Linked DNA regions of Caenorhabditis elegans. The protein of the gene in region 3 purifies or fractionates together with the protein of the main gene of each other region. This does not show direct contact. Each region holds a gene or a part of one and is shown on either strand. Other genes may lie near its edges. The genes, in order: AH9.6, csn-3 and plc-3.

Evidence for each region.
Region 1: the proteins of plc-3 (region 3) and AH9.6 fractionate together in Caenorhabditis elegans (co-fractionation; one large-scale study listed by BioGRID). This does not show direct contact.
Region 2: the proteins of plc-3 (region 3) and csn-3 fractionate together in Caenorhabditis elegans (co-fractionation; one large-scale study listed by BioGRID). This does not show direct contact.

What each region holds. Positions count from the first base shown.
Region 1 is NC_003284.9:2,261,185-2,272,394, forward strand, and holds AH9.6 (uncharacterized protein), read right to left. Parts: upstream 6,955-11,210; 5' UTR 6,862-6,954; coding exon 6,742-6,861; intron 4,657-6,741; coding exon 4,553-4,656; intron 4,509-4,552; coding exon 4,456-4,508; intron 4,403-4,455; coding exon 4,263-4,402; intron 3,159-4,262; coding exon 3,087-3,158; intron 3,038-3,086; coding exon 2,974-3,037; intron 2,913-2,973; coding exon 2,847-2,912; intron 2,801-2,846; coding exon 2,695-2,800; intron 2,341-2,694; coding exon 2,190-2,340; 3' UTR 1,982-2,189; downstream 1-1,981. Other genes in the region: putative G-protein coupled receptor AH9.4, read right to left, coding at 10,059-10,210, 10,470-10,641, 11,146-11,210.
Region 2 is NC_003282.8:190,783-199,628, reverse strand, and holds the start of csn-3 (COP9 signalosome complex subunit 3), read right to left. Parts: upstream 4,888-8,846; 5' UTR 4,852-4,887; coding exon 4,845-4,851; intron 4,789-4,844; coding exon 4,663-4,788; intron 2,790-4,662; coding exon 2,520-2,789; intron 1,869-2,519; coding exon 1,558-1,868; intron 515-1,557; coding exon 318-514; intron 1-317. Other genes in the region: intk-1 (INTaKe), read right to left, coding at 5,565-5,735, 6,313-6,852, 6,898-7,002, 7,052-7,147; pnc-1 (nicotinamidase), read right to left, coding at 7,550-7,744, 8,379-8,846. UniProt on the Caenorhabditis elegans protein: Component of the COP9 signalosome complex (CSN), a complex involved in various cellular and developmental processes.
Region 3 is NC_003280.10:10,219,094-10,230,855, reverse strand, and holds plc-3 (1-phosphatidylinositol 4,5-bisphosphate phosphodiesterase gamma plc-3), read right to left. Parts: upstream 7,980-11,762; 5' UTR 7,979-7,979; coding exon 7,683-7,978; intron 7,635-7,682; coding exon 7,450-7,634; intron 7,398-7,449; coding exon 7,247-7,397; intron 7,201-7,246; coding exon 6,727-7,200; intron 6,675-6,726; coding exon 6,589-6,674; intron 6,538-6,588; coding exon 6,169-6,537; intron 6,094-6,168; coding exon 5,665-6,093; intron 5,568-5,664; coding exon 4,869-5,567; intron 4,839-4,868; exon of another isoform or gene 4,814-4,838; coding exon of another isoform or gene 4,620-4,813; intron 4,576-4,619; coding exon of another isoform or gene 4,096-4,575; intron 4,051-4,095; coding exon of another isoform or gene 3,726-4,050; intron 3,592-3,725; coding exon 3,451-3,591; intron 3,161-3,450; coding exon 2,522-3,160; intron 2,459-2,521; coding exon 2,166-2,458; intron 2,124-2,165; coding exon 1,933-2,123; intron 1,889-1,932; coding exon 1,789-1,888; 3' UTR 1,416-1,788; downstream 1-1,415. Other genes in the region: srh-135 (Serpentine Receptor, class H), read left to right, coding at 3,726-4,050, 4,096-4,575, 4,620-4,813; Regulator of fusion ref-1, read right to left, coding at 11,120-11,461, 11,518-11,680, 11,731-11,762. UniProt on the Caenorhabditis elegans protein: Mediates the production of the second messenger molecules diacylglycerol (DAG) and inositol 1,4,5-trisphosphate (IP3) which plays an important role in the regulation of intracellular signaling cascades.

The DNA.
Region 1 (11,210 bases), on a different chromosome or scaffold from region 3:
GATGGTTTGGTCTCATACATGTGTTTCTCCCGCCTTGGGTATAGAGCAGATGTTCATTACTGTTTTTTTGTGTGGCAGATGGAGGAGACTCGGGAAAATAGAGGATTTCATAAATAAAATAAAAATTCAAATTCATCAAAAAAAAATTTAGAAACTCATAGAATTCATTTACTAAACAGAAAATCAAGATCACTTTAGTTTCTTATAATTTTCTTGTTTTCAAGTTAGAAAAGTTAAAAAAAAACCACTTTACAGAAAATTTGAAACGGAGTAGTAGTGCCAAAAGGAGCAAAAATAAATCATAGTAAAAATTTTCAAAAAATTTTCGTATCGTTTTCGTTGAGAGTAAGAAATTGGCAAATCTTCAGTTTTTGGCAGTTTTTTACAAAAATTTAGCAATATCGAATGTTCGAATTCACACAGTGTTAGAATCAGGGGTGGGTGGCAAACGATTTTTCTAGCTAATTGGCAAATTGCCGGAATTGAAATTTCCGACAAGTCGGAAAATTGCCGGAATTGCCGAATACTTTCGGAAAGTTGTGGTCTCGCACATTTTTTTTTAGAAATTTCGGAATTTCAATTTTAAGCGGCAAAATTGTACGCATCCTGTGAATGTTCCTTCATCTATTTTGAGAAGTAAGCAAACATCTTCCGGCAAATCGGCAAACCGGCAATTTGCCCATTTGCCCAGTTTGCCGCTTACCCTGTTCTGAATATTTATTTTTAGAAACATAAATAGACCATAAAAATCAAAAAAAAAATTTTGAGAGATGACTTCCAAAACAATGACAAGCAGTAGTTAACACTTTTTGAAACAAATTGAAAAACTTTTTTGAAGTGTTTTGTTATGATACATAATTATTTTAACATCGATTATTTCCCCACTGACCGTACTTTATCTTTAAAAAACTATGAAAAACTTGAAAACTAAACTGAAAAGCACGTTTTTCAAATATATAGCGGCAGTAGACGTTGAGTTCGTGGCTTTTGTTCAGAATTATGAGGGAATATAAAATATTCACGTGAGAGAAAATATCCTCAATACATCTCTCAATGTTAAAGAAATCCACTAGATATGTGTGGTTTTACCATAAGCTTTTGCATGCTATCTTAACATAAAAATCTTTTCAAACGAAATATTTAAAATATTATTGCATTTCGAAAACTCACTTTCCATTTGTGAAATTGGCATGCGAAAAACAATGAGCGTTATCCGTGCACGTGTATTCAAATGCAGTATTGAAAACATCGGCTGGATACCGCTTACCGTAGTTGCAGCCGGGAAAGTAGTAACATTTTATGCTAATAAATGAGAAAAAACAGTGGAATTGATGAACAATAAACATTGATTCAATATTTTATCATTATCAATTTTATGTAGTGTCTTTTCTTCGAGCATGAAGAGGAAAAGTGGGAAAGATAAGAGTCTAGAGATGTTTTGATTCTTTGCGTAAAAGTAGGAATTATAGAGACTAGGTGAAAAATAAAAACAACATTGTTTGTTTTTGATAAGTGGTGAATAAATGTTTAAAGGTTTAATACTACTCCTATGGTGCTAAAATAACCAAATATCATATCATAGAACAACTTTTCAAAAAAATTAGAAATGTTTTATTTATTAACGAAGTGTAGCAATTACCCAGTTTTTGTCCCTTATGATTTTGGAAATCAACAAAAAAAACTTTCTACGATTTTCATATTTTAATTTTAATTTGGTTTTTTTTCTGTTAAAACATTCCATACGACATTCAAAAATGATGGTAACTTGCCAAAACGTTGACTAAAAATGTGAGTGGTTTATTATGATATTCGGCCGCTTTGGAATCATATAAGTGAATTTTGAGAAAATCCCCAGAAAAATTCCCCAATGGAGCTAGGCCCCTTTATATAGAAGATTAGTCAGCTCAAAATAGGCACCGAATATATTAAGTTTTGTTTATATAAACAAAGACGATTTTATTTTTATTATTCAAACTTTTCAAATTTGGAAAATATTCTTCACTTTATTTTGTTGAAAAAATAAACCTTAAAAAAATAAGAAATACAAGTTAAACAGTCAACTATTATTGATCGTTGACTCTAGCAGTGAAAATTTGAAAAAAAAAATCACCGTAAACCCGAATGAGAGAGATTGAAAACAATTACATAAAAATAAATGTACAAAAGTTTCAGATATGACACTACGAACATTAGAACATGAGATGTGTTTTGCTCTTTCCTGACGCAATCTTAATGGATCCACTTTTTTGCACTCCGATTTTCCTTCTCACCACGTACCACTCGACAAGAAGAGCAGTGATGACAAGTGCCAAGCAGACCAGAAATAGGTTTCGTGCCCACCTGAAATGATTGAAAATATATTTTCCATACCTATACCATACCTATACCATACCTATACCATACCTATACCATACCTATACCATACCTATACCATACCTATACCATACCTATACCATACCTATACCATACCTATACCATACCTATACCATACCTATACCATACCTATACCATACCTATAACATACCTTTGCCATACCTATAACATACCTTTGCCATACCTATAACATACCTTTGCCATACCTATACCACACCGATACCACACCGATACCACACCGATACCATACCTACACTATTCCAAGGCTGTTTTCCCAAACCATATCCCCTTCACAACCAAGAATCAGCTCCAATAACTTACATTGGAACGGAATGATCTCTCTGTTCACCGTTCAGCTCGTAATAATCTTTCAGTGCATATCCCACATCATCCACCAGATCCTCGATAACCTTTGCTAGTGGCCAGCCTTAAACAATACACCGTTTCTGGTTAGCATTCAGTTATGCGCGTACCTTGCACCAACGCATTGTTGACTTCACTTTGTATGTTTGGAAGTAACATTCGAAGACGATGTGAGCCTGGAATAATTGAGTTGATCGAAGTCATAAGTTTTGAGTTTTGCTCGAGTTTGAAATGTACCTGTGTGCAATCTCACGTATGGAATTTTTCTGGCGTCATTCACAACTCCATCGATTACAACAAGCTGGAAAACATATTTGGAAGGAGTGAATGGATAGAATGGCATCACTTACCGCTAGCAAATTTGTCTTGGTGCAAGATTCTCCGACACCAAACCATCGCTCATATACTTTCCACGAATAAACCTGAAATATACAATTTTTGATTTCAGCCAAGTACACACGAATATCACAGCTTCTGCATCTTATTATCATTGAAGCTTTTTTTAAAACCAGTCCGCAATAATTTGCCATACCGTATTTTTTCGATTAGAATAACTGCAATGCTATTTCACCAAAATATTTTTCCTCATAAAATTGATCTGTAAATTTGCCGTTGAAGGAGAACTAAATTGTTGCTATATTTTAAAAGTGTTGCTATATTTTAAAAGTGTTGCTATATTTTAAATAACAAGTTTTTCTAAACAAATCAAATATCAATATGAGACTTATCAAAAGCTTCCCAAAAACTTTTCAAAACGGTTAAAAATGTTTTCAAACAATTGTGCTAATGCTAGCTGAAACCCTAAATTTTGCAAAATTTCCCATGTCACAGCTGTCGGAAATTAATGTTTATTTTATTATAATCCTTAAAATTTACCTAAATTAATATATAAAGACCGAATTATACAGTTAATAAAAATAAAATCTTATGAAATTCAATGTGCAATCTTTATCACATCTAGGTGCCACAAAAAAGTTTGCAAAATTTAAGATTGCATCTAAAATTAGCTGATTTTTTTTTTAAATCTTTAACCGTCAGAAAAAATTATAAATTAAAAAAAAAAGTTTTATAACGAAGTTAGTTCATTTGAGCACATTTTGAATCTATACATTAAGTCTATACATGGGGATTTACTGAGATATCTGAATATTTTTATTTTGTGAACTCCATTCTTCAAAAATAGATTTTATTGGAAACCGTTTAGCACTGCATTCAATTTCGTTTTTGTATCTCACGCAGGAAGTATTTTTCTCAGAAAACGTTTTGCTACATTCTGAGAGTCCCTCAACTCAAGATTCATCATTTCTAGCACGTGTTGAAGATGTGCCCACTTTGCGCACTGCAACCACTTCACCCAAAAAAAGAGCGATACTTGCGTGCAATGTGGAAAACGTGATAGAAAATTGGCTCATAATGATTCAGTTCCCCTTCCTGTCCCCACTTTGCAAGCTCAACTTTGGACTAACCCCCTCCCCCCTCCCGCTAAAAACGTATACTTTTTGAAACCTCCGACCACACCGACCTACCCGTAGGAACTTCCGCACATTTCCGACAATTCCAGTCACCATGTCCCCGTCAATCTGGTCGCATTCGTTATCAAAGAGACAAGCGTACTCGGTTTTTTTCATGACATCATTTGCAGAAGCAGGCTGCTCCAGTTGTTTTGCTGGAAAAAATATAATTTCGTTGGACAAGAGAGAGGCAGGTGTATTTCTCAACTGATTATGACGGCAAGTGTTGAAGTATTGCCGTTTGTGAAGAGTGATCGATACCTGAAAATTGGGTGTTAAGATTGAAAAAAAAGAATTGTTTATACTTATTATAAGCTTTTTCAATTCCATAAACATTTGTGTAAGCCAGTTGGTGATGAAGATCGCACACAAACGGAAGTCGAGGAATTGTGTAGCAAACCGATCGGTGCTGAAATTAGGTAGATTTGAATGAGTTGCAGAAACAGAATATATATTTAATTTTTGAAATCAAAATTAAAAATTCGCGAACTGTTGAATCAAATATAGATTTGTCCTTTGTCATCTGAGAAAATAAATTCCAATTTATTTTCCTATAGTCTTGTAGATACCGTATATTTTCAATTCATGCGGCAACCCTTTTTTTATTGCAATTTTTTTTTGTGAAACCTCATTAGTTTCGACATTTTGGAAACTTTTTCTGAACATGTTTTAATGATTCTTTGTTAATTCACAAAATGAATTTAAAAAATTAAATATTAAATTCAGGCCTAAAATATGAGTTTTTGTGACTGAGAGCTAGTGATCTACAACTGAAAAGAGGTTTTTGAAAATCAGTACTGCAGTCTCTAATAGTGCTGCATTCAAAAAGGACCTTAAAATTAGTGACGGTACTCATTTTAATACCGTGAAAATTAACCGCGGCATAGGCCGATAAAAAAGAGCCCCGTTGCGATTTTAATAGGGAAAATACGGAAAATTGAATAATTTTTCCAAAGGTCACTGTTGTAACTTACTACTGCAAATTTATTTGCTTTGTAACGTTCTTAATATGTAGTAGAAATTTACAATTTCACCCCCGTGACCTTCCTCACATATGCATAACATATTCTGTCGGGTTTTGAGTACGTAGTGACTTTTTTCATGAATATATGCTTGACAAGTGTTTCACATGGCTCGCATCAACTAAAATGGATGTGGTGGTCGTTTCTTTCCTTTTCACAATAAAATATGATGGAAGACGTCAAATAAATACATGTGTATGTATATATCATTTTTTTTGAGTCGCGTGCCTTTTTGTCTGCATAACTTTTTTTTTTGGTCTACAGAGATGAGCTGACAATTTGGAGGAGAATCAAAATTACTCCTATGCTAAAAATACATTTCAGGTTTTTTCTATAAATCTCAAGAAGTTTAGGGAGTTTGCAAAATGTTTTTGACAATTTTGACAATTGTTGATTTCAGATCAAACTCTTCTTTTCACAAAGTTTTTCGGCTCCTCAGTCCTTCAAAAAAAAATTGTGAACTTTTTGCGACACAATAAACGAGGGTCCTTGAGCAACCTGGAAGGAAGCATAAGCAGAAGAAAGGCAGGGAGGGGGGACACAATTTCTTTTTTGTTGTCGCCGAGGAATTTCCTTTTCTTCTATTTGTGGTTTTCAATACAAAAGAGAAAAGGAGTTTGAGTTTTTCGGCTTTCACAAATTGCGTTTACGGGGCGGCGAGACGATGTTGTTCACCTTGTGGTTTCCAAAGGAGACCACAAGAATGACTAATGTCGTTCACGCAGTTCACCGGGTAGGTCTTGACTTTAAAATTTGAGTGTCAAATTTTGAATCACAAGTCAAAAGTTCGAAACTATGGGGTTTCCTCCCTCTAGTGCACAATTAAATCTCTGAAAAAAAAACTCGAAATTCGTCATTCTTCCGGATATCGCCAGAGTAAATCTAAGACTACGGACACAAAAAAAACAACGATTGTCTTTCACTTGATTGGTTTCATAAGGATGAGCAAATGCTCAATATGCAAATAGAAAAAAAAAGCACGACGTCTTCGTCTTTTCCACGCGGCTTTCCTTTCTCATCCTTCTTCCTCGACGAGTTTTGGAGGGCCGTTCAACTTTTCGCAAAGTATATAGAAAAAGGAGAAAGGAGGAGAAGTATAGTGGAAAAAAGTAGGATACGGCGCAGAAAAAATATATATATATATATATAAACAATAAAGCAATACTGAGCAGCAAAAAATAATTGGGTTTCTAATTGCAAGGTTTACGAACGCTTGAGTGATTTGTGGGGCACATGGAACGAAGGCTACCCCTCCTAGGGCAAAACAGAGGGAATGTATAATTTATCTTATTTTTGCATTTTCAGAACGAACAATGCTAATTATTTTTCCTTTTTTCTCATTCTTCCTACCTCAGTTTTTCTAGAAAAGAAATTGGAAATTTGAAGCTAAAGCTTTTTTGGTTCTTAAAAGTTGAGGGGAGATTTTAAAGTTCAGCAAATAAAAAAATAAAACATGAAAAAGTTGAACTCACAAAACTAGGTTCGGTGATCGGAGATGGGAAGTTGCATGGTGAAAATATGGGAGGCACAGGAATCTGACCCCCTTGGGCATAGACCGTCAGAAGGCAGATGACGAGTAGCTTGCGCATCATATTGCCATGAGAGTTAGGACATTGTGTGCTCCACACCAATAATATGCTCTGCCAAAAACGACGACGGCGGCGGCGACCGACTGATTCACCAAAACCCGAGGAGTTGCTCTCTGTGTGCTTCGCCCGACGACGGTCGTGTCCGAAGCGCGCGCAGGCAGCGCCGCCAATGCGCTCCGCCCACTTTGGCGCCGACTGAGGAGGCTAGGAGACATTGGGCAATAGGAAAACGGGGGGAAGCTTATAGTAGTGAACACTGGACTTGAAAACATTTCTCCCAAGGGGTACGCCACACACTAAGAGAATTCACGATTAACGTACGTACAAACATTCTATTTCGATACTTGTTCTTGCTCTTGTCCTTGTTCTCAGTGACAAGTCCAGGTTGCTTAATTGAGTTTTTTTCTTAGAGAAGTGCGTCTTTCCTTTCCTTTTTTCATTTTCTTCATACTTCGCACTTTTTATAGCTAGAGACCAAGTTTTTGGAAGTGATGTATTGGGTAGTAATAAAGTTGAGTACTCATGAATATTAATGGAAAGACGAGTTAATGATTGTAAATATTTCTGACGCGAAAACACAAGATCTTTCAGAAAAGGAGTGATCTATCTTCCAAATACAGGGATTCAGTTTTTTTGGTACCTGTCTCAGAAATTTTTTTCAATTTCCACTCACCTGATAATTTAATCAAAATGGGAAATTGATTTGCATTCTCAGGTTAAGAAAACACTAATACTAAAACTAAAAAATTACGTTGAATTTTAAAAATGATAAACATATTTGGTGCAGGTTTACCTTGAAAGTACCTACATTCATTCAGTATCACAAATAAATTCTCGAGGTATTCCATTCAAAATTTGTAGAAGTCAAGATCCCAAAGTAGTGTTTCAAATATTTACTCAAATTTCACCCCATATACTGAGAATGTTGAATTATTCATTACTGTGTACTCTCTCTCTCTCACGCCTAGAATTTCAGAAATGTTTCTGCAGTTTTTTGGACAAAACCGAATCAAATTTTATCTGGTCCATTTATTTTTTTCCATGCTTCAATTTTATTTTAAAAAGTGAAAACTCACTTGGCAACACACTATACGTCATCTCATCTAAAGCTTCATTTGAGACGGGCGTTGCCTAGTCTTCCCGAGGGAGATCTCAAGAAAATGTGCTCTCTGAAAGATTGCAACTCGCGCTGCTGTTGAATTTCATAACTCACGGGGAGGGCACCTGCAAATAAAGTGCATTTGAAAAAGCACGCTTGTGATTAGGAACCAGATGTAGTTGTGCTCTCTTCCAATTCTCAAGTGTAATTCAATCCAGCACGGAGGTAAAGGTACTCCATGTCATTTTAGAGCACTCTTCGCTTTTATTGGCGTGTCTCTGATGCACTTACTACAAACCACAAAGCACCAACGAAATTCAAGAGGGGACGGAAGTCAGGCTCGTACGCGTCTTCAAAAAAAAAATTCCGCAACGTAGTCTGTTCATCTCTTTTACACATACTCATTTTGACTCGTTCTAACTAAATCCAACGAAACACTTTTAGCTCCAGGTTTTTAGAAGCTTTGCAAGACAAAAAAAACCGGGCCGAAAAATAATTTCCTGTAAAGTCATTGTGCAGTCGGAGACTCCTAAAAGAAGGAAAGCAATTTTCCACAAGAAAACGACAAAGAAGCCACATTCACAATGAACCGAACCATTTATTGCTTTTGTAAGTACCAACTAATGTTAACTCGATATTAACTTTACGATAACACAGCAGTAGTGGAAAACAGGAAATTTGGAGGAAATTTCCGAAGAAAATTTTTTGAAGGGAATAAGCAGAGGTAAACGTTTTTCGTTCAATGACTTTATTATTTCAAACGACGGGAACACATTTTCCATCATCTTCGGAGCAAAGAGGGTTATTAAAATGCACGTTTTGTTACAATAAAATAAATAATTCAAAATGAAACTCGGAAAATGTTTCATTCATTGTGATTTTGAGGATAAATTTTGTAAAGTTATAAAACATTGAATTTTTCCGTTTAATTAAAGGCGGAGTGCGGAAGTATCATGGTACAACTTTTCAGAACAAAAATTGGAGAATTTTTATTTTAAGTCAAAAAATGGCGAAAACGGAGTTTGCGCCACTTCTCGAAATATCTAAAGCACTGGCGCATGTTTGAACCCCAACATTGCTAAAATATAAGAGTTTGGAACATAATTCAAACTGGAAGAAAAATACGTTTTTTTTATTAGCGATTTCCACAGATATATAAACATTTCACCGCTATCTAACTTGAAATAAAAAATGTTGCCAAAAATTTGGAAAAGTTTTATTATGCATGTTTGGCTATTTGAATACCATAGGAATGGTTTTTTAAAATATTTTTCCACTGGACGTACTTCACCTATAACTAAAACTTGTCGTTGCTTTGGTATCACACTATATTTGTGAAAAAATGTAAAAAATGTTTCATGTTTCATTGCAAACCATGTATTTTTTCTGTGAATCTTTGTTTGTAAAATTTCAAAAATTTCAGTTTCTTTATCAAATAAGCAATATTCGAAGAATGCTGTAGATCATAGCGTTGTTTCACAAAAAGGAACCTAAAAGCCGTCATAGTTTGCAATGTATTTTTTCTTTCAGATTATGTTCTCAATAAACTTTTTTTTTTGAATTTTAGTTCTCGAAAATAATCAGTACCAGTGTATTACAAAAGTTTCAATTTACATCAGCAAACTTTCGAACAATTTCCTAGAATTCTGTTTTTGGCATAAAAAGTTTGCCGTGCTTACTATTAGTAAGCAATTTATCAAGCTAGGCGACTCTATTTTATTTCTGAATTGATCTCAATTAATTACTCATCTAAAAATATTCCAACTGCACGATTTGAAGATGGATGAGTATGAATTGAAAACTCTTTATAGTCATGTACACCTTGCATGTTGACGGAAGCTATCAGAAACCAGCAAATAATTTATTTTTATAACACATTATTAATTTGTTTTCAATTATTTTTTTTGCACAATTTTTGTTTGGCTTACACGTTGAAAATGCGGAATTTGAGTGATTTGAGAAAGGAGTTCAGTAGATCAATTGAGATCAAAAATACAACAAAAACAATGAGAAATGCTGAGAGAACATGTAATAGTTTGACAAACAGGTTTGAAGAGAAGCAAGTATCCGTACCTAGTGCTAAATTTTATGAGATGTAAAATTAAGCTTCGTCATCTGAAATACATCTCGAAACATGACGATTGCTGCTTGAAATTACAGTATTCCTTGGAGATCCGTTGGTTTCATAAATTGATGTTGCCAAGTAGAAAGCATTACACGCGAACTGCGAGAAGTACATCATTTGTGCGATTGCTGAAAAAATTTTGAAAATCACTCTGTTATGACAGGGCTTATTTTTAATAACGTCTACACTGCTCCGTTCTTACGAGTACTGATCCCATGATTTAACCCGACCTCCAGAAAAAGAAACGCCGAAAAAAAAGAGATTAAGGGAGAAATGAGTTCCTGGACAGATGGAGGGAAAATTTTGGAAAATTGAGTTTTGAGAAGATGAAAATGTTTCCTTTCTTATGAAACCCACGGCCGGAAGTGTACGAAGCACAAAACTCACGTTCTAATGTTCGCACAATTTCATTTTCCAAGCTGCTCTCGTCGTACGAAGCCCAAGCTCGGAAGATGTGTGAGGGGAGATTCAATAGCAAGTTGAGCACGGAAATTAGTATTGATCTCATTACCATTGCTGTCTTCTTTTTTGGGTTTCCGTGGTGTATTCGTTTGACGCTCTGAAATTTAAAGAATTTTATGCTTTTCCATTAATCTAAATTTCAAAATTTCTTCTGTGAAGTGAATCAAATATATTTTGAACACACTAACGGTTTCGAGTATTATTTTTAATTTTTGCACAAAAATCACTGCGTCAGTACTGACTAATCAGAAAGTGAAAGCATGTAGTTTTTTTTTTTTTGAAAAAAAAAGCTAATTCAAAATTAAGATCAAAATATATTGTTGGATTTTTTTAAAATGATTTTTTTTCATTTGAATAAAAGTATTCATGTCCTGGCCCGAAAGTGTTAGATTTTTACGTGGAACTTTTTGTCCATGTTCAGTTTAGGATTATAGTTTTTAAGAGAAAGCCTAAAAATGCAAACTTATTTCACGTTTTGATTAAATTACCATTTTTTAAAGAAATGAATTTGAAAACGTATTGGATAATTTTTTGAAACTACACAAGTACCAAAAAAAAGTTGTGTTTTACTTTGGATGCAAATTTGTTGGCTTTTGCTTACCGGTGTATTCGTACTGGCAGTTATTGAAATGGCCAAAGCGACATGTGCTTTATTGTCCAAAGTAT
Region 2 (8,846 bases), on a different chromosome or scaffold from region 3:
TCAATAGAAAAAAAAAATAAATTTGAAAAAAAAACGAGTTTTAGATTAAAAATGCTATTTTCTGAGCATTTTTTCCTCTGAAAATGACCGTTTTTCAGCCAATTTTCACTCAAAATCCCGGATTTTTAGCCAAAAATTCAGTTTTGTCGTGAAATTTCATGGTTAAGAGTTTTCAAAATTCACTACAAACTTGCATGAAAATTTTGGTTTTAGAAACTGGGAATTTTTGAAGTTTTTCTTAGTTTTTCTGGCTTGTAAAAAGAAAAATCCTGAGATATTTCCTCTTTTTCTCGCAAAAATTCTTGCATAAAAAGTACTTTTTGAACGAATCCAAATGTTGATCCTGAACCGAGAACGCTGGCATTCCGACACAAATTTCGAGCAGGAAAAGAGCATCTTCGAAACGTTTAAGCTCAATGAGAATACATGCTCCATTGTAGAGATAATCAAGTACATATTTTGGATGAAGATGAGGATTATGTGCCACTGGCTGTGAACCGAATGCGGCGCCTTTCTGAAATAATTTTAAAAGATCCAGAAAAACAATTTGAACTGAAAAACCCAAAAAATTCCATATAAAATTTGTTCTTTAAACGAATTTAGTTTTTTGATGTTCATTTTTTATTCATATTTTTCGGTTTTTTTTATTTATAAACTTCAGAAAACTTTTAGTAATTTCAAATTTTATTTTTAAAAATTCAAGAAAACATTTTGATGTGGATTTACAAACCAGACTAAAATTTAATATAAATTTTTTTTTAAACAAATTTTTATATATTTTTTAAATTTTCATTTCATATTTTTCAGGTTTTTTTTGCAATATTTCAAAACTCAAAGAGCTCGAAAATTTAGTAATTTCAGATTTTATTTTAAAAAAAAGTTTTTTGCAACAGAAAACATTGAAAATGTCCCATTTTTGCGTTTTTTTGTCACTTATTTCCGAATTTTTCGGAAAAAAATATTCAAAATATAGTTTTCTTCAGATTTTACTGAAAACCCAATGCAAATGTTCAGAAAATCGCGTTTTTTTAACTTATAAAAATATTTTTGTAATTTTCGTTAACTTTTCAGCTTTTTAAATGTTTTTAAAACCAAGCAATTTTAAAAAAATTTAGTGTTTTGGAAGCTTTTTTGAAAAAAGTTTTTTGGAACAGAAAAAAATTGAAAATATCCTATTTTTGCGTTTTTTCGCACTTTTTTTCCGAATTTTTCGGAAAAAATTGGTTTTCGTAAGCTTTCACTGAGAATCCAGTGTAAATATTCAAAACAATCGTTTAAATATAATTATACATGTATAATTTTCGTTAACTTTTCAGTTTTTAAAAAAATGTTTTTAATCCAAAAAGAATTGAAAAATATTGTTTTTGGGGGCAATTATCAGTTTCTAGACATTTTTTTTCCAAATTTGCGTGTAAAAAACCTCAAAAAATGATGTATTTTCATATAACGTTTCTAACTTTTTTTCCTACAAAAAATACCCATTTTTAAAGGTTTTTTCACACGAAAATTTGAAAATATCCAAATTTCCAGATATTTCTTTTTTCTTCCATAATGCACCTTCATTCTTCCAAGAAAAACATCTCCAAAATCTCGTTCTCTATTATCACTCTTTTCCTGATCTTGAATACAATTCTCATTTGCAATCTCATCAACATGTAGATCAATAAATGGTTCAACAGATGCATAATCCTTTGTTTCAAGAGCACACGCAAAGAGCACACCGTGTGCAGAAGTGAGCACATTTGGAGCATTTGAGCCATTTCTTGGGAACATTGATCCGAGTGCTTTCATGATAATTCTTTGTCCTATTTCTGGTTTATTCTTCTTTTCCAAACAATATAAGCCGACGTCGCGGAGCAGTGGGAAAACTGAAAAAAAAATTTTTTTTAGAGGGAAATTGGAAAAAATTACATTTTAAAAGTTAAAAAAAAATCAAATTTTCAGTTAAATTTTCAATTTTTGCCTAGTTTTTCTTTAAATTCGAGCTTATTTGCCAATATTTTTCAATTTTTCTTGAAAGATTTTTCAATTGCTCCATTCAAAAAGTGAAAAAAAAATCTATGGAAAAGTGACTTTTTACAAGAAAATCGTTAAAATTTGTCATTTTTTCACTAAAGAATGCATTTTCAGACAACTTTTTTCTGTGGAAAAATTCGGATTTTCGAATTTTTTTGAGGACGAAAAATTAGGAAGTTCTTAGTTTTTTAATTTTCAGTCTGAAATTTATAGATTTTTGAGGGAAATTGAGAAAAAAAAAATAAAATTTAGGAAGAATTATAGGAAGAAGGAGAAATTTTCAGTTAAGTTTTCTATTTTTGCCTAGCTTTTCTCTAAATTCAAGTTTTTATTTTTATTTTCCTTTGAAATCCGACGTCTTTGACTTTCTGCTTTAAAAAAAAACGGAAAATTCGGCGAAGTGAAGCTGCATTTTTCTCTTTAAATCTAGATTTTTCGCATAAATTCCATGTAAATCATCCATATTTTCCAGTTTTTCTTCTCAATTTTATCTAGAAACTCACTAATTTCAGGTACAAGCTTCAAATGTCCTCCAACAAAATTATTCTCATCAACATAATGATTGAGAAGCTCAACAGCTCGATCTGTTCCAGTTTCATTATTTTTTGCAGCCGACGTATCAAACATTCCTTTAATTGCAGCAACCATTGCAGCTGAACCAACATTTGGACTACAATGAAGCAAAAATGCTTCAACATCGTTCGATTTCTTTTCGAAAAGCTCTTTATTCTTACGAACAATTCCAGCGGCCAGTTCACCAACATTCTCTGAAACTAAATACGGGAAATTAATGCGGAATTCTGGAAAAAATAGGCTTGACGGTATCCTTAAATTGAATTTTTTTTTAAATAAAACAAATTTTTTAATAAATTTATTTTAAAGCGGGATTACAGTTTGTGGGTATTCTGCTTAAATAGACTACAACTGGTCCAAAACCACCGAATTTAATAATGAAACAAAAAATTTTCAACAATTTTGTATGGATTTTTGGTTGAGGCTTAGGATTTTTGGGTGAGGATCAGGATATTTCGTTGAGGCTACCATGATTTTTGGTTGAGGCTAAGGATTTTTGATTGAGGCTCAGGATTTTTGGTTGAGGCTACCAGGATTTTTGGTTGAGGCTAAGGATTTTTGATTGAGGCTCAGGATTTTTGGTTGAGGCTACCATGATTTTTGATTGAGGCTCAGGATTTTTGATTGAGGCTCAGGATTTTTGGTTGAGGCTACCAGGATTTTTGGTTGAGGCTAAGGATTTTTGATTGAGGCTCAGGATTTTTGGTTGAGGCTACCATGATTTTTGGTTGAGGCTCAGGATTTTTGATTGAGGCTCAGGATTTTTGGTTGAGGCTCTCAGGATTTTTGGTTGAGGCTCAGGATATTTCGTTGAGGCTACCATGATTTTTGGTTGAGACTCTCAGGATTTTTGGTTGAGACTCAGGATTTTTGGTTGAGGCTACCATGATTTTTGGTTGAGGCTAAGAATTTTTGGTTGAGGCTCAGGATTTTTGGTTGAGGCTACCAGGATTTTTGGTTGAGGCTCTCAGGATTTTTGGTTGAGGCTCAGGATATTTCGTTGAGGCTACCATGATTTTTGGTTGAGGCTAAGGATTTTTGATTGAGGCTCAGGATTTTTGGTTGAGGCTACCATGATTTTTGATTGAGGCTCAGGATTTTTGATTGAGGCTCAGGATTTTTGGTTGAGGCTACCATGATTTTTGGTTGAGGCTAAGAATTTTTGGTTGAGGCTCAGGATTTTTGGTTGAGGCTCAGGATATTTCGTTGAGGCTACCATGATTTTTGGTTGAGGCTAAGGATTTTTGGTTGAGGCTAAGGATTTTTGATTGAGGCTCAGGATTTTTGGTTGAGGCTACCATGATTTTTGGTTGAGGCTCAGGATTTTTGATTGAGGTTCAGGATTTTTGGTTGAGGTTCAGGATTTTTGGTTGAGGCTACCATGATTTTTTGGTTGAGGCTCAGGATTTTTGGTTGAGGCTAAGGATTTTTGGTTGAGGCTTTCTGGATTTTTGGGTGAGGCTCTCCGGAATTTTGGTTGAGGCTACCATGATTTTTGGTTGAGGCTACCATGATTTTTTGGTTGAGGTCAAAATTAAAAAAGGCATATTAGTGCAAAAATCAGAAATTTTGCCCAGTTTTCTTTGTCGCAGAGACTGTAATTCAACTTTTCTGAAATTATCACTTTTAATTCACATTTTGGTAATTTATCTTGTGTAAATTCATTGATTGAGACAATTTTTAAGCGAAGAGACATCCAAAAATGATAAAAATTGGATGCCTCACGGTTTAAAATTGTCTCAATCAATGAATTTACACAAGATAAACTAATAAAACTTAGATTAAAGAGTGATAATTTCAGAAAAGTAAAATTCCAGTGGCTGCGACAAAGAAAACTGGGGACAAAGAAAAAATTTCAGATGTCAGCAAAATTTGGCTCTTTTTTTTCGGAATTCGATCCCTTTTCAGATGATATTCATCAATTTTTCACGAACTTCTACGAGAATTTCGATGGGTTTTTGAATGAAATCATTCAAATTTCCCGAAAATTTCAGCGAATAAATACATTTTCAAGTTGAAAAATTGAGAAAATCACTAATTTTCTTCTTTTTCCAACAAAACCCTCCAAATTACCATGTTTTTCACTGCAAAGCTCATTGATCGCAGCACACAATGACTCCATACTACCAAGATCCATTCCAGAAGAAGCTGCTGCAGACGATGATGATGAGGCTCCCGTGAAGAGCTTATTGAAAAAAGCTGAAAAAGCTTTTCCGATTTTTTTAGAAAATTTACAGGTTAAATAATAAACTTACTTGTCATGATCCTTTTGTGAATGGGATTTTCCTGTGATATCTGAAAATATTTACATTTTATCGTGAAAATGTGTGACAAGAAACGAGTAAGAGAAGATATACGAAAAAATAAGAGAAAATTGCACAGGGAATGGCGATTGGTGAGAAAATTTAGAGAAGAAACCGAGAAAAATATAGAAATTGAGTAAAAATCGAGCTTGTACAGGAAAATACCGAGAAATTAGTGAAAAATGGGTAAAATTTGGGGAAAAGAGAAAACTTTGCTAGAAAATAGAGGGAATCACGAAAATTTTAGGGTATTTCAGTTCAAATATCACCGAAAAAGCACCGTGTCAGGCATAAAACGCTGTTTTTTTGAAAATTACTTATAGAAAATACGCTAAACAACACGCGACGCGTAACATCGGAGCATCGTTGTCACGCTTTTCTTCGAGAAAAATAGCGTTTTATTCGTTGGCACGGTGCCAATTTCGGAAATTTTAGATCCAAAATCCCAGCTGATCTTGAATCCGTGGTGCCTCAAAACAGGTGAAATTCACAATATTTTCCTGCTCGGAAAAATTTCGAAAAAAAAATCGACAATACGGGGATTTTTCGAGAAAAACTGTGAGAAATGCCCTAAAAAAATGCAAATATTAGCTGGAAACGAAGAAATTTGGGTCAAAATTATAGAATTTTCAAATTAGAAAATGCGTGAAAAATTCAGGAAACATGATCGATTCAAGACGAAAAATACTCCTCGTCGTTATCGATTTTTTCAGTGCGTTGATTTTGAGAAGCGTCGTAAAATGGTACGGTATCGAGTGCAGAATGCATGTCAATCATATGAGTATTCATCGATTCGAATAATCGTTCGATTTCTCGTTCTTCTTCTGAATCATCCGAATCCGACTGAAAATATGGGGAATTTTAGTATATTCTAGTATTTTTGGATTTTTAGTTGAGGCTCTCTGGATTTTTGGTTGAGGCTTTCTGGATTTTTGGGTGAGGCTCTCCGGAATTTTGATTGAGGCCCAGGATTTTTGGTTGAGGCTCTCATGATTTTTGGGTGAGGCTAAGGATTTATGGGTGAGGCTCTCAGAATTTTGATGATTTTAATGAAAATTTGAGTTTTTTAAAGGTAAAAAGCTATTGGAATATTGCATTCAGCGAGTTTTTTTTATTTTTTGCAGCGCTAAATATCACAAAACAGATATTTTGTGATTCCTGGGACCGTTTTTTGGGACTTTCTGCTTTTTTTCAGATTAAAAAACTGGCGTCTGTCGCATTTTTTGTTAGTTTTTTGAGAGATCTTCGGAGTCGTTTAGCTAGAAAATAGACTGAAAATCGGATTTAAAAAAAAAGGAAAATCCTGCCAAAAACACATTTTCTAGATCACATTGAGCTTTTTACATTCCAAAAATCCCGATTTCTTCGTAAAATTGCACAAATTAATCCCTTTTTTATGGAAATCCGAATTTTTCCTTACAAATTCAAAATTCTCCTTGACACTCCTCGCTTGTTTTCTCTTTTTCCTCCTAGCCGACTCAATTTCATAAACTTGTAAATGAATATTCGACACATCTTCATGCGCTTCTTTCACTTTTCCCAACGCAGAAATCTGTGGAGCATCTAGCCATCGGAGCTCACCATTTCGAAAATCTTCCAGTAGTTTCAGCATTCCTTTCTCCTCGAATATCATACTACTGGGCTCCAGAGGCGATGGAGGCTCCCGAACAAGAGTCTCTGTCATTGTATTTGGATCCCATTCGTACATATCTGCGTCTCCTTCGTGTCCGAGCACTTTCTCGTCCAGAGTTCTCGATTCAAACCATTTTTCCTCGGATTCCGGGCTTATAAGCTTCTCGGGACGCTCCACGTGCTCTTCTTCCTCCTCTTCAACTATTTTCTTCTCCTCACGGTCTCCGCGCGTGAATCGATGGAAGAAATTAGTTATGGAGTTTGTAGTATCCTTTCGTTTGCGACCAATGTCCTCTGCCACTTTACTAGGCCGCAATTTCTTTTTGTCCTGAAATTTATTTATTGAAAATTAATTTTATAAAAACGTTTTTGCCTTGCTAGTAACTGTCAGATCATCGATGGACTCCGAGAGATCTTCGGAAAGCACAAAAGACGTCGATAGTGTCGTCGAAAATCCCAATTGATTGTTGAGAGAACTCTGAAAACAATTCAAAATTTTTTTTTAATTAATCGATTTTTCTGCCCACCTGCTCTTCATCCACAACTTCCACTTTGACGGGCGGCTCCGTGCCGTTAAACCGAATATCACCAGATTTCGGTGATAAACTCACGTCTCTAGACATGTTTTCGGGGGAAAACTAATTTTTTTACGAAATAGATTAAAAATTAGCAATTTCGAGTTTTATACTGGTTTTCAGTGGTAAATATTAGGAAATATGAGTAAAATGTGATTTCTAACAAGTATTAAATGGAAAAATCGTTAAATTATCGGGGAAAAAACAGGAAATTTCAGGAATAAGAAATGCGCTGAAATTTTGTTTACAAAATTGGTTCCTTCGAGAGGAGTACACGGCGCGTGGCCGAGAAATCGTGCTGGCGGCCGCGTTATTTCGGAGCGTCGTTTGATGCGAAATTACTTTTTTCTGAACTTTTCAACGAAAATTTCGACAATTAAGAAAAAAAAACGTTTATTTAAATATTTTTAAAAGAATTACAAAATTATGCACAATATTTTATTATTACTTCTACTTCTTCACGATCCTTTGAACCCATTCTCTCGGCAGAAAACCGCCTTCCGTGATTCCACGTGCCTCGTCTTTTGAGATCATCGCAACGCCTTGCTTTTTGAAAGCCATCTCAGACTCCTCGATTCCCTTCTTCGTTAGTCCAGCGCTGCATTCCGGGATCACGGCGGCAAGGAAGTTCTGCTTCACAGCGTCCTGAAAATTTAAAGTTTTGAGGTGTTTTTAAAGGTGGTGTAGTCGAATTTTTTTATTACCTTATTAGACTCAAAATTGTCTGAAAACACCGAATTTCATAATGAAACTTTTTAGAAAAAAGTTATGACGGCTCAAAAAATGGCTTAAAATTAGTTAAAATCGGAAATTTGACCAACTTATCAATGTCGCAGCGGCTGGACACAATTTTTTTTTGAAATCACCGTCAAATTTTGAGTATACAAGTTGATTTCCTGCGTTTTAAACTTGATTAAGGTATTTAAAAATCGATGGACGGCGAGATTTTTAATTTTTTTGAGCCAAAACTCGCCGTCCATCGACTTTTAAATACCTAAATGAAGTTTAAAACGCAAGATGATCAACTTGTACACTCAAAATTTGACGGTGATTTCAAAAAAAAATAGTTTCCAGTCGCTGCGACATTGATAAGTTGGTCTAATTTCCGATTTTAACTAATTTTAGGCCATTTTTTGAGCCGTCATAACTTTTTTCTGAAAAGTTTCATTATGAAATTCGTTGTTTTCAGACAATTTTGAGTCTAATAAGGTAATAAAAAAAATTCGAATACACCACCTTTAAACGGTTTTCAGTTAGAAAAGCTTTAAAAAACCCTTACCAGGCAAGTAAACCGAACGCAAATATCGTAGGCGAGTCCGGCGATCACAACTGCGTCAATATTCTCGCGACGCAGCAAATCTTCAAGCTCTGTCTTGGACCGCCCGTTATTATCGTTGAAAGCGCTGTAGGAATCCAGATATGGGTCGACTCCCTTCATAATATACTCTGCGTTGTCCGCAATGTAGATTTCCGGATGAATATCCGATCCCCAGCTCTTCTGAATACAATGATCCGGATATAAAACTTGTTCTGTCTTGATTGGTTTCAAAAATTGCACAGAATCAAAGAATCCCAAAGTTTTATTCTCATCCTTCTCATCCATAACCCTATCCGAATTATGTGCCTGACTCAAAAATGAAATGTGATTGTGTGGATGCCAGTCCTTCGTATAGACCACCAAATCCCAGGACGACAGCTGAAGCAGCTCGTTGAGTGGTGTAATCGCTGAGCTTGGCTCCTGTCCAGC
Region 3 (11,762 bases):
AGTATTGAACGAGCAATTCACAAAAAATTACTTTTAAAGTTCAACTCGCACTATTCGAGATAAGATCTGTTCTACAAGAAAGTGCAAACTGGCAACAAAAACAAATACATTTTTGGTATTTTTCGTGAATTGTAGAGTGAAATTTAAAGTGTTCATACTAAAAAAAACATGTTTGGAAATGCAACTTTATAAAAAGCGTACTTTTAGATATGTTTACAACTCAAAATGGAATGTTTCTAGACACTTCGGCATTTATTACCTCTAAACTTGCATCGAATTTCTGATAAATGTGGAAAATTGACATGGATCTTGTAGAATTGTTTGATAATTTGGAAATAATTTAATTGATAGAGTTTCCATGGTAAGCTGCTATAGAATCAGAAGTACCTATGAGCGCCGTGCCTGGCTACCAGGCGTCAGTATCTACCTTGAGCCATATTGAACAATGTTCGGCATCTCACAATAAACATTTTCGAGTTTTATATAAATAATTTTCAAATGAAAAATGCACTTCTTCTCTTTTCCCCCATCACTTTGTACTTTTTCTGTCTAATCTCATAAATTGGCCTGGTAAGGACAAATACCGGCGGTTGAAAATGGGCATGGGAATGTGCAAAGAAATGAGAAAGATATGACAATATCCATCAAAAAATTTAATGACTTTTTACTTCTGAATAGAGAAAAGAGAGTGAACAATGGTGGACGGAGTACGGTAGTTAGATTTTCAATTTTGAGTTTGCCAAACCTTACAACTACTTTCCACTAATTGTATTGAAACTACCAATGTTTTCAGATTCATATTTCAATAACTCAAAAATCGAGTTACTGATTTTTATTACCAAAAAAAAAACATTTTCTAGGAATTGTATCAAAAACCAAAATTCCAATCAAAGTTGCTTCCCCTAAAAATCCAATTTCAGCCCACTCGGTCCATTAAATTTTTGAGATTTACGATTTCCAGAATTCTTGTTTTCAATTTCGATTACGATTTCAATTTCAATTTCGTATCTACAATGTTTCGTGTACTTTGATATTTTTGGGCGAGTTTTCGTTATTTCCGGAAAACAAGAAACAAACTATTTTGTTTATATTATTTATATTTTTGTCTTCATTTCGTTTTCATATAATGTTGTTGTTTTTGGAGTGATTCATCGTACTTTTTGAATTGTATAGAGAAGAGGAGAAGGCAAACGAATATGCAACGGAGAAAGACAGAGTCCTCTAATAAAAATTGTGTTGCATTTGAAAATGTTGAGTAGCTCAAAAAAAGAAGCTAACCATTAGGCTGACAATAAATAGGCGGCCCATATCGGCCTGAAATCTTGCAGCATTATCAAAACGATGCATTAGGTCTCAAATAAATCCCAAAGAAATTTTGAATTAATTTAAAAAATAACATTACCAAATTACCAATTACCAAAAAATGCATAATTTTATTAACAATTAATAATAAAAGGTACAAGAAAAATCTCAGCAAAACTAATTAAATTGACTTGGAAGTGTTTGGGAGAATTGTCATAAGTTAAAGCAGAATCCGATGAGGTTTGAACTTGAAATGAAAAAAAGTGTCAAAAAACAAAAAAATTAAACAAGAAGAGGAAGGAATGATGAGGAATGAACACATTTTGGATTTGGAGGAATGCGGAAATAATTGAGAAATATCGAATTTTGAGTTGTAACTAGTAACTTGTATTGATTGAAACTAACCGGGTATATTTAAACTTAAACTATAAAAAATGCTCCAAAATTTTGTGGCAAAAAACAGAACGGAAAGTGCTGAGTTTATATCTATGATTTACTACTTTTTCCAAATGAGAACTTCTTGAGCCAGTTTTGTTTCTTCTTTCCATCCCGAGAGCTTATTGTTCCAGATGCAATGGACGATGTTCTGAAAGTAGATTTTCACACAAAAGTTTAAATTTCAATTCTTACTCGGCAGCGCTGTCCATAGAGTCTTGGCTACCTCGTTGGCCGCTCAGAAGAGTGGCTCTTGACTCGGAATTTGTTGGAGAGTCTAGTGAACGATCGGTGGCTGATGTTCGTAACCGAGGTGCCATCTCACGAGGGATACTATCGCCATTTGTGATCTTACGGTGAGCGAAGACAGGAGCCAGACGACTCGCCTGAAGAAACCTTTAATAAAATTTTTTCAACTGGGCACTAACCTGCAAGAAATGCGACGACGACCTGATCAATTGAGTTCCTTCTCTGGAGCACATTTGTACATCAACTAACAGTGAAGAGAGCTCAAGCTCCTCACTGTACTGATTTTTGAGTGGAACTGATCGGAATCCACATCTAATTGAATCAACAGGGAATACTGCTTGACCAATGAACGGATCTGTTTTTGGTCCCACAAAGTCACCGTCTTCCACGTGGAATCTGATCAGTGCTACTTCGGGACACTGGATCTCAAATGTGAAAGTTTGATTCCAGATCGGATTAAGACCGTTTGATGCTGAAATTTTAATTGAAATTTAGAAACTTATTTTTAAAAAGGAAAAAAAATATTAAAAATTACCTATAGTTTTAGTTTGAAAAACTTTTGTGTCACATGGCATTCCAATAATTTCAATTTCCACAAATGGGGAGCATATTCCTTTATTCTTATCTTTTCTTGACAAATGACGTCCTCCAATCACTTGAACATTCAGTCGAATGGGATAAGCTGTTGCAAACTTTTCCGTGTTCGTAGGATCGAAGTCATCAGTTAACATATAATCTGGTTTCAGTAGGTACCCGCATCTTCCATTTGCCAAAAACTTTCCTTGATTCAACTGCATGGGTTTATCACCGGTTTGATAGTTTAGTGCAACCATATGACATCCTGCATTCCACATTGGAACCGGACTATAATTATTCGATGTGATTCGACTTCCGTTCGGATAGACCCTCGAGAGTTTTCGGGAATTAAACGGAAGAAGCCCCTTTTCAACCAGTTTGTCAAGTTTTCCCTCGACAAATGAGCACATTTCATAGAAAGCGTCATTGTAGATATGGGCTGGGTCGAATGGAACAGCTTGACAGTAGACGACTAGATTTGAGAGCTCAGCGGCAATTCGTTTTTCTTTTTCTTTGGTTCGGAGTATGCTCATTTTTGTGTTAACTGAACGAGTCAGCTCGAAGAGATTGTTTTGCCAACCATCTGCTTCCTCGGAGGCTGGAAAATTATAGTTTAAGTTAAGTTGGGATCCAGGTTGAAAAATATTTGCGTAAAGTGAATCTAATTTGTTTTTTTTTTCTTCTCCGTTTTGAATTTTTTTTAAATAAATTTTTGTAGTAGTTTGTAGATTCAGGTACGCTTTCAATTGTCACAAAATTTCCAAATTTAATTTAAATAATGTTTGAAATTTTTTTAAAGAGTTTCTATTTTCTTTCGGGCCATATCAACACAATTTGTAGCCTGTCGAAATTGTAAACCCCAGAATTTCAGTTCGAAGAACAACTTACAAGAAGCAGCCAACAAATAATATTGCTTGTTCATCCAATGTTGATTTGATTGTGATATTCTGATAACATTCGGACGATCAGCATCATGAATCCGTTCAATTAGTGTTCCAGCTAGCTCGATTGTGTTGTAGTTGCTAGTTTCTGAAAACTTTGATGTTTGATTTCACTTTACTCTGATAGAATAATCAAATTTTTAAAAAATCATTGAAGCATAGAAGGGATGATACTTTATTTTTCTTCTTTTCAGATCTGACTAAAACTCAAATTTCTATCGAATGCAAGCTTCTTGTCCCACTCTATCATTCTTTCATTCTCCCAAGTTTTTACAAATAAGTCTACACATAATATCGGCTGTTGGAATTCCAATTTACATATTCGGAGGGTACTGTATTTTGTGCAAAACCCCGAATCAAATGAATCTTGTCAAATTGGTCATATTTAATTTGCATTTTTGGAGTACTTTAATGGATTTATTTATGGGATTATTTGTTGCTCCATTTATACTTTTACCGTCAATGTCAGGGTTTCCCATGGGATTGCTGGGTTATTTGGATGTGAATATTCCATTTCAAATTTATGTTATGTTGACTGTAATTGTTTGTAAGTTTTGCAGGAAATTTGGAACTTTATATTTTATCATTTCAGTAACCGGTGTAGCAATTCTTCACATTTTCGAGAACCGCTATAACACCATTATTTTCGAGTTTTCTAGTCGAAAAGTCAGACGAGCTCTGTTCTTTATTTTCAACTATTTACTGGCGTTCACTTTTGTCATTCCAACTATTTTACGTATTCCAAATCAGTCGGAAGCTATCAAAATAGTTAAGGAACAATTTCCATGTGAAGTCGATGAAAATCGATTTTTTGTGTTAGCTCTGGATGTCCGTGTAACTCACTATTCAGTTATTATCACTAGTTCATTGATTGAAGGGCAGATTATTTATTTTGTCATTCGACTTTTGATGAATTTAAGTGGAAAAGATGATAGAAAATCAGAAAGGACTAGAAATTTACAAAAGAGACTATTTCGAGCAATTTGTATTCAAGTTACTATTCCTGTTTTACTAATGTTTATTCCATTTCTATTTGTAATTATTCAAGTTTCTCTGGAGTATCATAATCAAGGTAACACTTTTAAAACTATAATCTAGTTACTATATTCATTACAGCTCAAACTAATATTTCTTTATGCTTGCTATCTCTTCATGGTTTGATTTCAACTATTGTGATGCTCATTGTGCATAAACCATATCGTGATGCTACACTAAATATATTGGCAGCTTCTAAACTATTTCAAAAGAATACAAATAATAATAGTGAGCCCACACGAAATTCAGTTCCCTTTTTGATAGTGACTACTTAATTTAAACTTGCTATTTTATGAGATAAACTGTTTACATTAATTTTTTCAAACTAACCTGAAGTTGAAACTTTCTCTGGTAGAATCTCTTGTACATGGGCCGAAGGGAACCATCCAGTCAACGATCCATATCTTCCTCTCCAAAGACCTTCTTCCTTCCGGAGTACTGTGATAATAACATTCGCTGGGAACGAAAGTTCATCATCAGCTGTTCCTCGATACGGTCGAAGTGCTCGAGCTTGAACTTCTTTATCCAAATCCTTCAGATCCATATAGCAACCTGGAGTACGAGCTTCTGCAAGTTCAGCTGTCAGGTGTGATATATCCTTCTCATTGACAGGGAATCGAAGACTAATTCCTCTAACAAATTCTCGATTCGCATAGAATTCAACAATTTGATTCAAATTCTCGAATACTTTTTGATTCACCACGAAAATTCTTCCATCTCTTTTCAATCGATAATGCCAGAATTCGCCGTCGACTTTTAGCGAAAGAACGTAAACTGAAGAGTCAGTCGATGACGTCCGAATTAGGAAAGCACCATCTTCTGGCACCAAGCTCAAAAGTTCTTCGGCTTTTTCCTTGTCAGCAGTAGCAGAGAACCATGGCTGATTAAGATGCGGTTGTGGTTGAGGACATGGAATCGTGAGCACCATTTTGAAATGAGCAGTTGTGAGGTAGTGACGGGTGTAGTAAGAGACCAACTCGTAAAGAGTGTCGCAGACTTTGTTATCCATGAAGTAATATTTTTTCTCTTCTGAAAAATTGAAAAGTTGAAAATTTTATTAAAAGTTTCTCTTCTATTTACTGTAATTCTCGAATACATGTTACATGCAAAACATAGAAAAACTCACTATCAATAATCTTGGATCTTATCCGAACATGATGAACTTTCCCGTCATGTAGAATCGAAAGTGAGAAATCTCCAATGAACAGATTCGAATCTCGAATCATAAACAATCCATTTCCCTTCTCCTTATGCTCTAGAATCCGTTTTTTCGCTTCATCCCGTTCACATCTTCCATGGAACCATTCTTCAGTCACATGCATTTCTTCAGGTTTCACTCCAAATCCAGAAGGCGTCTCTTCTTCCCGTTCTTCATCTCCACTTACACTCACTGTATCGTCATTTGGATTTTCAGGATCAGCGGTTTGAATCAGGTAGCAAAGACGATCAGGGAATAATATGAAAACATGAGATGTCCATTCGTGACTGTTGTTGTTTTTTACCATCAGGATCCCCTTCTTTACACATTCGCGAGATATGATTTCCGTGTCTTGGACTGAAACAAAAATCATTTAGCAAAATGATTTATACCTTTACTACTAGGAAACTAGAGTAATTTCATAAAACTTACACTCATCAGTTTTCACCACAGCTGCCAAATCCTCGCTTTCTATCGGCAACTTCTTATGCTTCACGATAATTTTCTTCTTCAACGCGGCCGGGGAGGGCAATTGTTTTTCTTCACGATTTGCTGGTTGTGTCAATAAATAATCACCAAGAATATCTTTCAGTTCTTGAGCTAGAAGCCGTTGAGCTGGCACCGAGCAGTTGTCCTCAATTGATAGAATTACTGGATATTCACTCGTAACAAATGCATAGTGACGGATGACGTGAAGCACGTCGCGGAGCAAAATTTTTGAGGTCATCGTATACCCGTGATAGATGACAATATCAATGAACTCGGCTGACCCGGGCTTCTTCTGTCCATCCCAGCAATCTACTGAAAAATAAAATTATTTATAAAACAGTGAAAATTGTCTCTAAAACTTACACTCAATGCATCTACAACCCATCAAAAGAGCTTGAGCATAACAATCCAAAGAAGATTCAGATCGAAGTTGGTCACCCGTCAAGTATCTGGAATTAAATTACTGGTTTAGCACTTATATAGACCAAAAAAAAAACAAACGTATTATGCGAGCTGGCAATCCAATAATGAGACAATGGTCTGCTCATATCATGAGTAACTTTCTCATTTGTTGGGTCCCACAGCGAATTCTCCCTTGAAAATAAAAAATCACAAAACTCGAAAACAGTCATTGAAGGCTCATTTCTATCTCCAAAATATGCTTGATCTTCTTGAAAATATCGATTCAAAAACTCCAAAGCTCTCGTTCGATTCGAGGCAAGTTCATCGAATTGTTTGCCATCAAGAAATCGCAAAAAATTTTGAAACGTCACCACAAGACCTTTTCGTTCATGTTTTTCAGCAAGATCAGCGAATCTTGAAGAGAAGAGTTCAGGTACATGGATAAGTTGACGACTGGCAAAACTGAATTGATCAGAATTCATTTGATCTTCTGTCACTTGTTGGAGCTGATCAGATTGAACTTTGAATTGGAGGGAGGTTTGAACAAATGGTTTCATATGCTTTCGAGCAACGCTGGAAAATTGTTATTATTAAAAAATTCTGCAATTTTTGAACTTACGCATCATTAGCCGGTGACATTAAACTCAAAAAGTGTTTATGCAGAAATCGTTCAATTCTCAATGGATGAGGGGATGAGTCTCGATCTCTTGTGTCCATCATCAAATTATGAAGTCCTTGTGACCATAATTTGCACGCATCCTCACTTTCAACTATAACATTTTTCTTTCAAACTATTGAATAATTATTTTAACAAAAACTCACACAAAAGAATCCAATAGGAAAGAGCAAATCCCATTCCATATGAGATGATTAGAATGGCTTTTGAATCAAAATTTACGATTTCTCGATCCTTTTTCCATTTATCATCTACTTTAATTGTGTTCAATTTGTAATTCAATGTCTGTACTTCACGGATTTGTCGAATATCTAGAATTGTCGGTTTATTTCTGAAAAAAATGTAAATGAATTTCATGCGATGTTACTTATCCTCTTACCTAACAGCTGACAGTTCCAATTTTGTCAGAAAAATCTGCCTCGAGTACCGATCCAACGTTAATTGTTTATAGGCTGGATCCCATTTCTTCAACACCGCAATTTTGCACACTTTGTGACCTTTCTCCATTGCCGCAAACATTTTCCCAAAATCCATTTCATTGTGACGGTTCAATTGAGCTCGTGATGCTGTCGAGAAACCATTTGAAGAGCGGTGATGAAGGTGAACGGAGCCCGCTGTGCTGGTTACTGTAGTCTTTCGAGACGACGATGATGGGCCAAGTGAGCCGTGTTGCATGCTGAGAAATTGAAGGATTTATGAAATTGGATGCACATAAAAAAGAAAATTTTAACGGTCTTCCTTGCAAAAGAACGATTGAAAGAATTTCTGATTTAGAAATTAATTTAAAACTTATAAGCAATTACGAAAATGTGGTGTTTCTTCAATTTCTCATAACAAAAGTTATTTTATTCAACTAGTGAAATGCAATTCAGTTGTTAAAATGAATAATCTCTTATCAAAAATTGTTGTATTTTTCCGGTAAAAAAACTATCAATCATACTTTCCCGTTTGAAAAAAAAATCAAAGAATATAAAACAAGAACTTGATCAAAAATCTAATTTTTTAAAATAGTTCGCTTAGAAATTTTTAGAAAATTCACAAGAAGCGGCTGGGAAGGCTTCAAGTAATATTGAAAGATATTACATTTTTTTAAACAAGATGTCTTATTTGCCTGGATATTTGTGAATTTTTCCAATTAATTTATAAATAAGTTTTAAAAATGTAGTTTCTATTAGAGGAATGAATAGGTTTTCAACAAGAAAATTGCGATTGGAGATTATGAAAGTTTTCTGCAAAATTGGCAAAAGAAGTTTCTATAACAATTACTATTTATCTATCAAAATTTTGAAAGCCGGCAAAAATGTGTTTTATGCTTTAATTCTTTGTGCTAAAGATTGGCTCAAATGTGCAAGGATAGTTGAAATATCTCAACTAATCACACTTTTCAAAATTTTGAAAATTTGCCAAAACCGTGACTGAAATTTTTTTTTTCATATTTGGTTTTTAAAAAATCGCGTATATTTTGACAAAAGCACCACAGCCCTTCAAAATTATTTCCTAAAAACTTATTTACCCTCAGTTTAATTCGAGCTCCAATAACCCAATCAACTCCCTATTCCTATATTTTCAGAAAAAAAAGTTTCCGGAAATTCTACAACTGCAAGAAAAAAGAATGACATTTCAAGAAAAAAGGAGCACAATAAAGTAAAAGTGTGAAATATAATACATATGACCTAATGACAGTATGATAACGTCATACTAGCCACGGCGAGGAGCACAATTCGATAACGGTGTGTGGAAAAATAATTCAGACTAAATTGGGAAATTTTCACAATTCCTTTTTGATAAAGAAAAATGCTCCTCGAGTTTTGTGCTTTTGGTGCTTCACACATAGAAAAGAGAATTGAATGAAAAGGGCTGGAAACTGGAAGAGAAAGAGAAAGAGCAAAAGAATATTGTTTCAACAAAATTCGAATCGCTTTGGTTGATTGAAGAGAAATGGACGATGTGAATGTGAAAAAGAAGAAGAGGAGCATTTCCAATATTTTTCAATTAAATCTTTATCGGATTTTCAATTTGTTCATTCCATTGGAATGAAGACGCTTCAATATTTGTATTTATTTACTTTGAAGACATTTATGATCATTTAAAAGTTTTCTATAACTATTCCAAAGTATTTGCTAATGAAAAACGAAAGCTGTGATACATTTTATTGTAACCCGATTTTTTAAAAATTATAGTATCATAGATAAACTTACCCAATTAAATTTACAAAAAAATTTTAGACATATAAGTGAAAAATTGTCAAGATTGATTTTTTAGAAAATTATTTTAAACTCTACATATGTATATGCAACAAAGTCACAGAAAAATTACATCACATATAAATCACAGAAAAAAAAGAAAACTTTTAGAGTCGTGTCAATTGTTTTGCATTTGCGGAAGAAGCCATACATTTATGAAAAAATTTCGGATCTTAACATTAATCCTAAAATAAAGTATTGTTATCAGACTTTCTAAATATAAATTTTTAAAAAACTCGAAACCATTTTCCTTGGAGATGTTAAAATTGACACCTAAAAGGAATGCTTATAAAAAACGACAAAAATATTCTGAATTCAGATGCAAATTTTCATTTTTTCACATACATAAAATGGGGGTGAATGGGTGTATAGAACATAGGTGAAATATGATAGATAAAAGAAAATGAAGAGGTTTTGAGAGACAAACAAAGCGGACCGGTTCGGGTTCGCCAACAACTTCGAGACAATCGCCTCAACAGTCCGAACACACTTTTTCTCTGGGTTTCCGCATTAAAAAAGTTTTACGCACTTTTGATTTGTAAATGTCAACTTACTAAACTAAAGTACAAATATTTATAAGTAAGATGCGAAAAGTTTCGGGAAAAAATTGTGGCAAAAATTGAGTTTCCAGCATCAGTGCATTTTTATACAAAACTTTTCTGGAAAATATTGCATGAGAAAAGATGACAAAGGAAGTTTGTATCGGGGGCACACCAGGCTAAAATGTACTGTTTCTAAATACTGAACGGCCAAATAATCGGCGAGATGACAATTCGCAGGAAACAACAGAGAAACCTCAAAGATCGGCAATTCTTATTTGAACTTTTGAGGAATTCGAAAATATTTGTTTATCACAAAAAAGGTTTACATTTCAAACTCAGCTTTAAATTCAAAATGCATTCACTTTAATGGAGATTTTTAATGCTTCAGGGTGTTTAGGGTTAGATTATCATCCGGAAGCCATTTCGAAAAATGTTATATGTTGAAAAAAATCTGCAAAATGTTCAACATGTTTTTTTCAAAAGGCATCAACTTTACAAAGAAAAAAATAGCTAGGTTACATTCGGAAGTTCAATTTAGAGCGGAAATACTTTCCTTGTGGATTTAAACCCTCTGAATTAGAAGTATCATTGTATTAACCATTTCCCACTAAAACACTAATTAGTCGTCTGTCTGGAACAAGGTGGTGGGAGAATAAAAACTGTCACATCATTCTATCGAGACACGTGGCAATGAGCAACCAATTGCCATGGGAAACAAGGTACCAGAATACAACACTATAATAGAGATAATAAATACTTTATTCTGCAGTCATTTAATCTTCAAAATCACTGAAAATCGGAAAATTCAATATAAATATTATGAATACTGAGGGAAAACAACAATTAAGGATTTATAAAACCTACCGGTAAGCTTAATAGCCCGTGACAATAAAACTAGATTTTGGTTGTGAGATGATAATGATATGATAAGTTGAAAAAGTCGATAACATTTTGAGGTTGATAAATTATTAATAAGAATATATACTTTTAACACTAAATTACAATTAAAGGAGATATATTTTTTAGAAAAGTTATTCCCATGGTCTGAACAGCTTACTCTTTCTTGAAGCTTTAGGATTGGAATTCGAGTTCTCATTTGGAGTGGATGGTGTTTCGATTGATGACGAAGAAGTATCGGATGATGGTGGTGGAGAATCCAGTGAATATGATGGAGACTGTTGAGATTTTGGACTTGTTGCCATTGGTGCCATTGGCATTGGGAAGAATGGGAATGGCCGGAATGGGAAGATTGGGAATGATGGTGGTGGAATTGGGATGGGCATGGATGGGAATCCAAAGAGTGGCTTTGGTGATAAGGAGAATTCGAAGAACTTTTCAAGGTCTGCGCATCGGACAACGAGGTGACGGTCGCTCTGAAAATATATTGATAACATTTAAAAAAATCTTCTCGAAGTTCCTGACAACTCACCTTGAAAAATTGGAAGGCAATGTTTTTTGCAGTCTTCTTTCCCTCTGCAATTGCATGTGCATAGAGTGACTGCTCCTGGTCGCTTCGACTAACAAAATTGTGCTTCTTGTTTTGAATGTAGGCAATTATGATATCCAGGGTGTTCAAGCGTTGCATTTTTTCGCTGAAAAAAGGAAAAGTTTAATTTATGGTATTGGGAAAATTTAAGCTTACACTTGATGAGATGTCATGAGCTTGTTCTCAAT